Linked DNA regions of Arabidopsis thaliana. The protein of the gene in region 2 purifies or fractionates together with the protein of the main gene of each other region. This does not show direct contact. Each region holds a gene or a part of one and is shown on either strand. Other genes may lie near its edges.

Region 1 (5,479 bases), on a different chromosome or scaffold from region 2:
TGTAAGGAGGCAAGACTCATCTTTAAGACTTGCATGTATGATAACCCTGTTTACTATGAGCCCCTTCTTGCTGGTGAGGCTAGAGCGATGGCCAAGATGTTGAGCGAGTTGTTGAACGCGGAAAAGGAAGCTATTATGGCTGGTGAGCCTGCAGTCATTGCGAGGGCGTTTAGCGGGTTGCAAGAAGAGAATGCTGAGCCAATTCTGCCTGCTGAAGCTGCAGCGATCGGGAAGGCGTTTCGCGAGTTGGAAGCTGGAAAGAAGAAGGAGAAGGAAGCAGAGGGATCCGAGGGTAATGAGAGTGATCATCAGAATCAGAATTAGGTAAAGCTTTTTTTATGAGCATATTGAGACTTACATTGATCTGAATGAAAATTCAAATTTCGTTACTCTTAATTTTGTTTAGGTGTGTCTTCTTATATACACCATTGGTTATGTAATTTGGATGCATCTATAAAATACTGTCGTAATCACCTTCTTCTACAAAAAACTAAGACCATTTTAATATACATTTTGATTTTTTTTAAGATAAGACTTTGTGCAAGAGTTTTTATCCAATGATAGAATCTTAAGTGAGACTTGAGTAGTACTTATGCTCAACTTTTGAAACAAGAGATAGAAGTAAAAGAAAGAAGCACATTCCTTTGGCACATAAAAGTCATCAGCAGTGGTCTTCAGGATCTTCCGCAATACGCTTCAACATGAATAGCAGCCATACGGTCCATGAAGTGATCAGTGGTAATCACTGCAAGATGATCTTCAACAAAATCTTCAATCTTCTTCCAGTCACGATCAAACCTAAGAAACAGAGAGCAGTAGTATCATCAGCACAATCAGGTCCTGCTAAAATCAATATAATACTTTTAAAAAACCACACAAGTATAAAATTATTACAGTTGAAGTGCTTCAAGAAGCAGATCTATTTAGCTAATCAAAAAAGATCAATTAACTCAAGGAAGCAGATCTTTTTTAGCTTAAGTTACTACTGACCTAACACTATCATAAACTTCCCTCTCGTTCACTTATGTATCTGCCTTGACATATCAGTTTATATCCCTAAAAGCCAGCAATAATATTGAAGGATCTAACACTAAGGAAAACTAAAACATGCATTGCTCGCCAATCCAAACAGAAACTCACCAAATCGTAAGTTTCGATATCATCCAAACCAAACAAATTGAATGCCTGGGGAGAGAGAGTCTTACTGAGGAAAAATGCTTCAATTAGCCCAAATATTAAAGTCCCAATATAAGGAGACTTTTTGTTAAATTTTTAGCCCGATTAAACATAACATTTTTTAATCAGCATGCAATATTTTCATTTAATGTGCTCGGTTCTGTCACGGACACTGACATGTAATTTTTCATTTTCACGGGTGAGATAATTTTCAGACAATATTAGAATTTTTTTCTTCCCTTTGTAGTTATTCGAAATTATGTTATTGTTGGGAAGTAATGAAAAAAAACTCAACAAAATTCGATTTAATACCTATCCATAATATTATTGATCCTAAAAATAGAAAAGGATAATTTTGCTGAGTCAGAAACGTGATATTCGCGACGTTGTTTCCGGATAAAGAGTAAACGTACGACTGCTTTAACTCACCTATAAAATCACGACCGTCGATTTCATTTATGTCAAGGGGCAAAACTGAAAATCACACAAAAACAAACAAAACTTTGCTTACGTCACATCATTATCTGTGACTAATTCTTAATCATCATCATCATCATCACTTACTTAAATCTAAAAAAATCTCTGTTTGTATATATATTATCTTTGCGATTTTTATCCAAATCTTCCAAAGCTTAGTTTTTTTTTTTTTTCAATTTCTCTCTTGCGTTTTCGATTTTATTACAAGAACTTTGTTTTGGGCTTCATCCATCGTTCAAGGTTCGTTGAAAACTATGAAGAAAGTTGAGTTTTTTATGCTCCTTCTCTGCTTCATCGCAGCGTCATCTCTAGTGGTAAGACTTAATAATCAAAAGCTCGAATTTTTAATGTTCTTCCAATCATTGAAATATAATCCGAGATTAAAGTTTTTAAATTTGATCTTGATTGGTGTGTAAAGTCTGCTGATCCACCAACATGTCCTGCTGATTTGGGAGGCAAGTGTAGTGATTCTGATGACTGGCAAGGTGATTTCTTCCCTGAAATCCCCAAGATTAAGTATGAGGTAAACAATGGTGATGTTTCTCTTTAAAACTGTTGGTTTAAGTTGGAAACTTTAGTGGATTTGTTGTTTGCATGTGTAGATGAATTGGTTGTTGATGAATTTTTTCAGGGACCTTCGAGTAAGAACCCACTTGCTTACAGGTGGTATAACGCTGAAGAAGAGATTCTTGGGAAGAAAATGAAGGTACTTTTATTTTCTTGTTTGTATTTTCTTGCAACAATTTTTGAGTTATGTTTTTATGGATTTGAAGAAACGTGTGGGATGTTTGTTTGTTGTCCTGAATTTTTTGAACAGGATTGGTTTAGATTCAGTGTTGCGTTTTGGCATACTTTCCGTGGGACTGGAGGTGATCCATTTGGTGCTGCTACTAAGTATTGGCCTTGGGAAGATGGTACTAACTCTGTGTCTATGGCTAAGAGAAGAAGTAAGTCCAGATTGTGTTTTTATGTTAGTTTCTCTTCGTTATCGAGTTACTGTGATTTGAGTTACTGATTGTTGTTTAATGCAGTGAGAGCTAACTTTGAGTTCTTGAAGAAACTTGGAGTTGATTGGTGGTGTTTTCATGACAGAGACATAGCACCTGATGGCACTACACTTGAGGTAACTCGAGCTTCTGAACTTACACCATTTTGCTTTACATTGAAACTACAATCTGCTTTATTGCCTGGTGTTATAAACCATTTTGGTCCTGATATTTCCTTTGCAGCTTGCTGTTTCTTGTGGTACTTGATAACTTTGTTTTGCTCTTGTTGGCCCAATGTTAACTTGTTTCAGTCATAAAGAAAGCGCCTGTAACCTGTTTATACTTAATCTGCAGGAATCTAACAAAAACTTGGATGAAGTTATCGAACTCGCCAAAGAACTCCAAAAGGTGATTCAGTTTGTTAATTTTCCAGTTCTTATTACACATTGGATTTTGGAAGATACTTCTTGTAGTTAATCAATTCTCCAATACAGACTCATGTATGCCATTTTATAATTGAATCTTTTTATCACTGAAACAGTACTATCTTGTTACCATTCCTTAGTTTGATGTGCTAAGAAAAAAAGGTTCTTCGTTTTCTTCAAATGCAGGGGAGCAAAATCAAACCATTGTGGGGAACAGCTCAGCTTTTCTTGCATCCTCGTTATATGCACGGAGGAGCGACCAGCTCTGAAGTTGGAGTGTATGCTTACGCTGCTGCTCAGGTGAAGAAAGCCATGGAGGTAACACATTACTTAGGTGGTGAAAACTACGTTTTTTGGGGTGGTCGTGAAGGTTATCAGACACTCTTGAACACTGATATGGGAAGAGAGCTTGATCATCTAGCCAGGTTCTTTGAAGCTGCTGTTGCTTACAAGAAGAAGATTGGATTCAAAGGTAAGTCTACTGCTTCTTTTTCTTGTCCTGTATTCAGTCTTATGGGAGTTATTGCACAATAATCTTCTTTTTATCAGGCACGCTTTTAATCGAGCCCAAGCCTCAAGAACCCACCAAGCACCAGTATGACTGGGATGCTGCAACAGCTGCCAATTTCTTGAGGAAATATGGTCTTATTGATGAGTTTAAGCTCAACATTGAGTGTAACCATGCCACGCTCTCTGGTCACACTTGTCATCACGAGCTTGAAACTGCAAGAATTAATGGTTTACTTGGCAACATTGATGCAAACACTGGCGATGCTCAAACTGGTAATTTTTCAATTTCAGCTCTCTTGATTGTTAACACCTCCTAACCAGATTCTGATTGAACAAAGTTCTCTCATTCTCTTAACAGGATGGGATACAGATCAGTTTCTTACAGATGTTGGAGAAGCAACCATGGTTATGATGAGTGTCATCAAAAATGTATGTAATATTAAAGAAACTCGCTATTTTTGGGAATTTCATTGTAAATTTTTGAATGTAAGCTCATAAGAGCTTCTGTTTTTCACATATGAAACAGGGTGGGATTGCTCCAGGCGGCTTCAACTTTGACGCTAAACTGTAAGAGCGATTCTTGATTCACAATGTTTTACTGTTTCATACAAAATTAAACCGAGAAAGAAGCTTATAATGTTTGGTTGATTAAACAGGCGAAGAGAGAGTACAGACGTGGAAGACTTATTCATTGCTCATATTAGTGGAATGGATACAATGGCTCGTGGACTGAGAAATGCAGTCAAAATCTTGGAGGTTAGTTAAGATATGAATAGATAAGTTTTATAAAAGAACCAAAGAGTGTAGCTTTAACTTGGTTTCGGTGTGGTAAAGGAGGGAAGTCTAAGTGAATTGGTACGCAAGCGATATGCAACTTGGGACTCTGAGCTTGGGAAGCAAATAGAAGAAGGAAAAGCTGATTTTGAGTATCTTGAGAAGAAAGCTAAAGAGTTTGGAGAACCAAAGGTTTCTTCTGCTAAACAGGTACAAGTTTCTTGCTATTAATTCTGGTTTTGTTTCGTTAAACACGAAAAACACACAATGATCGATGTCTTTTGAAACGAAATCTGCAGGAACTCGCTGAGATGATTTTCCAATCTGCAATGTAAGAAGAAGAACAAGAAGGCTTTTTATGTTTATTAAAAGTATCGTCTTTTTTAGTTTCCCTCGCATCTTTGAGAAGTTTGAAAACCAAAACATTGGAAAATAAGATGATTAGAGAGGTTGGTTTCATTATTTCAGTTGATGTACTATGGTTTCACACTCTAATTACTTTAAATTGAATAACAAAAAACTGTTTAGGCCTTTACTTTGATTCAGTTACGGTTTTTGTGACAAAGACCAATGAGCAATTCCGATCTATTTCTTCACTCGACTATAGTAAAGTTTGTAGGAGGTTTTATACGAGAAAGTTTAAAACAGCGATATACATATATACAATCAAAATTCTTCTTACCTTATGAAAATTTGAAAAGCAATATATGATTTTCACATTAAGCTTTGAGTTTTGAGTTTGAAAACGTTGATTCTTAAAAATGGTCTAACATCAATAAAAACTTTATCCAATTCATTTCGTTTCGTTAGTTATGATTTCAGAATTTTCTGTTGAGATTTAAAGGAAACTCAAAGTCCTAATTTGACAAATTTCTCGACAAAATCTTTGATAGTATTTGATAAGAAAGGTTTGAAAACTAGGGAAACATAGCCTATCTACTTGATGTATCTATGAAATAGTTGTGATGACTTTGTTAATTTCGTATTTGCGACGACCGTGATGTATTACAATAATTGAGTCTTCTATGATGTTGAACCTAATTACTATCCGTCGATGGTTCTAGAAAATTTCTTTATTTGTTGTTGAATGAATTAATTTTTATATATTTTATTCGAAAAAAGGTCGGCAAA
Region 2 (4,239 bases):
TCATCTCTGTCTTTATTACTTGTCCTTAACATGGTTATCTTTTATATCAGAAACTTGTGATAACTCCTGTGAAGAAAGAACTGGGTCTTGCATTCAAGGGAAATCAAAAGAATGTGGTTGAATCTTTGGAGGTTGAACTCTTAACTGTTTTACTGAATAACTTTTTTTTTTAATAATATGGTGATGGTTTAGAATAAATATCATGCTTCGTGTAATGTTTTGTTAGGCGATGAATGAGGAAGAAGCTATGGAGATGAAAGCAACCCTGGAATCCAAAGGGGAAGTGGAGTTTTACGTGTGTACCCTAAAGAAAAGCGTGAACATCAAGAAAAACATGGTGTCTATATCAAAGGAGAAGAAGAAAGAGCACCAGCGGGTTTTCACTCCATCAGTGATTGAACCATCGTTTGGGATTGGTCGGATCATATATTGTCTGTATGAGCATTGTTTCAGCACAAGGCCAAGCAAAGCAGGGGATGAGCAGTTGAACTTGTTCCGTTTCCCTCCTCTTGTAGCTCCCATCAAGTGCACGGTTTTCCCGCTTGTTCAGAACCAACAATTCGAGGAAGTAGCCAAAGTTATTTCCAAGGAACTCGCCTCTGTCGGTATCTCCCATAAGATTGACATCACTGGTACGTAAAAACAAGTTGAGAATTGAAGTTTTTTGAAATATTGAAATGGATCAAATCAAGTAAAGATTTGTTGTGTTTGTGTGTGAACAGGTACATCGATAGGGAAGAGATATGCGAGAACCGATGAGCTTGGAGTGCCATTTGCAATAACAGTGGACTCGGATACATCAGTGACAATCAGAGAAAGAGACAGCAAAGATCAAGTCCGAGTCACCTTGAAGGAGGCAGCTTCCGTTGTGAGCTCAGTCTCAGAGGGGAAAATGACGTGGCAAGACGTCTGGGCAACCTTCCCTCACCATTCTTCTGCTGCTGCAGACGAGTAGCTAGCTCCTTGTTTTTTTCCGAATTAAAAACCAAAGTGTTAAATTAATTGTTGCTGAATCTACTCATTTTTAATGTTTTGTTTCTTAGTGTCACGTAAAAAGTTCGATACCAGATTTGGAGACGAAGTGGCTATAAAGTATAAACTCTCTGTTATATTTTCGTCCATTCTACTGCTAATTTTCTAAATTTTGGTCACAAATTTCAGTCCATCCAGTTATGGTCTGAATTGTTTGTGTTTGCATTAAGAAAAAAAAGTATGAAGGATCATTGTTTTTACAGTTTGCTAAGGATTACAAAGTTACAAGTTAGAGAAGCAAAGAGTTGACGCATCCTTGGGCAGTTGGTAGCGCCATCGTGCATATATACTGACTATTTTAGGTTTTAGTTTAGATGCAGAGATGGACTAAACCAGAGGAAAGCACATTCAAAAGTTTTTGATATCGAATAATGGGTTAGTTAAATCCAAGTTTTATGATAATGCAGCCATGCAGGCGGATAGAAATCTCGATCTTGGAGGACGTAACACAATTAGGCAAGTTATGAAGGAAAGTAAGATTATCAATATTTATGATTTTATGATTGTTATTTATATAATTAAATACAAATAATTAATACAATAGACTATAGGCAAGATATATTTAAAAAAATATTTAATTGAAATTACAATTAAAATGTTTAAGAACGAATAGAGATTTTATATTTTTTTTTAAAAACTCATCGCTTGAGCACCAAGTTTCGCATTGTAATAAAAATCCTAAAGTAACAAAACCCTGCTGAAGTTTCCCATATTAAAACCCTAGCTAGACCAAAATTGTGAGCGGACAAGTTCACACTTTTCTTGACGATTCCAAACCACTTTGGCTCCGATTCAGATCCCGATGGACGCTCCCGAACAATCTTTTCTTCGGGAGAAATCCTTGGCCGTCGAAGATCAAGAACTCGCCGTCGGAACTCTCGAGGACTCCCACGCAGCGAAACCAGAGACCAACGCTGCGATTGAGCTTCCCAACAAATCCAAGCCTGAGAAATCCGCGGTCGAGAAGGACCGTGAGGATTTTCGGGAAGCAGTGGTCAAAACTCTCGATCGGCTTTTGTTCGTCCATAAATCTTTCGATATCTACCATGGCGTCGCTGGACTTTACGATTTCGGTCCTCATGGTCGTACTGTTGAACTTAATATACTTAGCCTCTGGCGTAAGGTGAGGATTCATTCATTCATTCACATATATCTCTGGCACAATTCGGTAGACAAGAGCTGATTTTGAATTTTCTTTGATATACAGTGTTTTGTTGATGAAGAGGACATGATGGAGGTTGCTTGTACAGCTTTGACACCAGAGGCCGTTTTCAACGCATCTGGGCATGTAAAAAAGTTCACTGATCTTATGGTCAAGGATGAGGTAGATGGAGCATTTCACCGTGCGGACCACTTGGTCAAAAGTTATTGTGAAAACCGAAAGAAAGATCCTACCATCTCTGCTGAGAATGCTGCTGAATTGGATAAAGTTATAGCTCATGTGGAAGATCTTTCTGCTGAAGAGCTTGGTGGAGTATGGAATCACTGCTCCACAGCTCCAGTCACGAAGAATCCACTTTCTCATCCTCCTCGCCCCTTCAACTTGATGTTTCAAACTTCCTTTGGAGCAAGTGGTTCGTTGATAGGGTGAGTCTTTTTCCATGTAATAATTCTTTCTTTCTTGAGTTTTATTTATTTATTTGTTGGTGTGTTTCAGTTACTTGCGTCCTGAAACTGCTCAAGGCAGTTTTTGCAACTTCAAGGATTATTATAATTTGAATGGGAGAAAACTTCCGTTTGCCGTGGCTCAAGTTGGTCGAGTCTTTAGGAATGAGGTGAATATCCTTCAATATTACTAGTTGATATATTGTATACGTTTATCTGAATCTTTCTTTTAAGGGATCTTTGTTTCTCACGCAGATATCTCCACGTCAAGGGCTTCTTAGAACTCGTGAATTCACTCTGGCAGAAATTGAGCACTTTGTTCACCCTGAGCATAAGTCACATTCTAAGTTCTCTGATGTAGCAAAACTTGAACTCCTTATGTTTCCAAGAGAAGAACAAGAAAAACCTGGCCAATTTGCAAAAAGACTTTGCCTTGGCGAAGCTGTTGCTAAGGTCAGTGTATTTGTAATCATATTCGCTTACCTCCTTTTTGATAAGAAAAAAAAACTAATACTGATCTCTACAACTGAAAATGTATTAGGGCATGTGAACAGTGAGACTCTAGGATTCTTCATTGGGAGAGTGTATCTTTTCCTTATCCGTCTTGGAATAGACAAGGAACGCCTGCGCTTCCGTCATCATCTTGCAAATGAAATGGCACACTATGCAACCGATTGTTGGGATGCTGAAATTGAGTGTTCATATGGTTGGATTGAATGTGTTGGAATTGCAGATAGGTCTGATTACGACTTACGTGCTCACTCCGTAAGAAACTCACCTTTTACAACTAGATATATGTAGGTGTTCCTATTTATATTTACTTAAGTAGATTGTGGACTCTTTGTTGTATGGCAGGAAAAAAGTGGCCATGCTCTTGTGGCTCAAGAGAAACTTGCAGAGCCTATAGAAGTAGAGGTAATTTGAGCTACTCGACATTTCCACCTCTATCTATATAACTTGTCCTTCATGTGATTCTCTTATATTTCAGAAACTTGCTATTACACCTGAGATGAAAGAATTGGGTCCTGCATTCAAGGGAAATCAAAAGAATGTGGTTGAAGCTTTGGAGGTAGACTGAAGTGAAGTCTATTGTTTTACTGAATAGCTTCTTTGTCTCATGGTGATGGTTTATAATAAAGAGATAAGTTGGTATTTAGTACGTTTATGAAACATAATTATGGAAGTAGTACACTCACTATTTACAATTAGGGAAATAGCATATATGATTAGGGTCTTTCATGTTTATGTTATTTATCTTCAAACAATTAATTATTGCAGATATGTAACATGGCTCATATGAATCTTTACCTAAATCTCTGTCTCTTTTCTACTTTTCTAGCTTTACCAACGGCTGAGTTGAATCTAGAAAATTATGGTGTCACAAGTTTTTCTTTTTCTTTCTTTTTAAGTGTCCTTTAAAAAGCTCGATACCAGATTTGTAGGTTAAGTTTCGGTTATCAATGTTTCTCTTGTTAGAGACTACAATAAACACAAGCCCAAACCTAATGAAGCCCATGTGTGAGCAATCAAAGTTCTCATAAGCAGTTTGTTTGTTTGTTTGTACTACTACTACTCTACTTGCTTAAACCCCCTAAAACACAT

Evidence for each region. The genes of interacting proteins can lie anywhere in the genome.
Region 1: the proteins of AT1G29870 (region 2) and AT5G57655 fractionate together in Arabidopsis thaliana (co-fractionation; one large-scale study listed by BioGRID). This does not show direct contact.

Annotation. Positions count from the first base shown.
Region 1 is NC_003076.8:23,345,123-23,350,601, forward strand, and holds AT5G57655 (xylose isomerase family protein), read left to right. Parts: upstream 1-1,552; 5' UTR 1,553-1,907; coding exon 1,908-1,967; intron 1,968-2,071; coding exon 2,072-2,176; intron 2,177-2,284; coding exon 2,285-2,359; intron 2,360-2,470; coding exon 2,471-2,600; intron 2,601-2,684; coding exon 2,685-2,776; intron 2,777-2,993; coding exon 2,994-3,047; intron 3,048-3,250; coding exon 3,251-3,536; coding exon of another isoform or gene 3,537-3,598; exon of another isoform or gene 3,599-3,613; coding exon 3,614-3,847; intron 3,848-3,932; coding exon 3,933-4,003; intron 4,004-4,100; coding exon 4,101-4,141; intron 4,142-4,230; coding exon 4,231-4,330; intron 4,331-4,408; coding exon 4,409-4,558; intron 4,559-4,647; coding exon 4,648-4,683; 3' UTR 4,684-4,943; downstream 4,944-5,479. Other genes in the region: AT5G57640 (GCK domain-containing protein), read left to right, coding at 1-324; AT5G57650 (eukaryotic translation initiation factor-like protein), read right to left, coding at 675-798, 1,141-1,163.
Region 2 is NC_003070.9:10,456,378-10,460,616, reverse strand, and holds AT1G29870 (tRNA synthetase class II (G, H, P and S) family protein), read left to right. Parts: upstream 1-1,834; coding exon 1,835-2,155; intron 2,156-2,239; coding exon 2,240-2,619; intron 2,620-2,689; coding exon 2,690-2,807; intron 2,808-2,892; coding exon 2,893-3,090; intron 3,091-3,177; coding exon 3,178-3,402; intron 3,403-3,492; coding exon 3,493-3,552; intron 3,553-3,625; coding exon 3,626-3,715; downstream 3,716-4,239. Other genes in the region: AT1G29880 (glycyl-tRNA synthetase / glycine-tRNA ligase), read left to right, coding at 51-131, 227-632, 723-955. UniProt on the Arabidopsis thaliana protein: Catalyzes the attachment of glycine to tRNA(Gly). Is also able produce diadenosine tetraphosphate (Ap4A), a universal pleiotropic signaling molecule needed for cell regulation pathways, by direct condensation of 2 ATPs.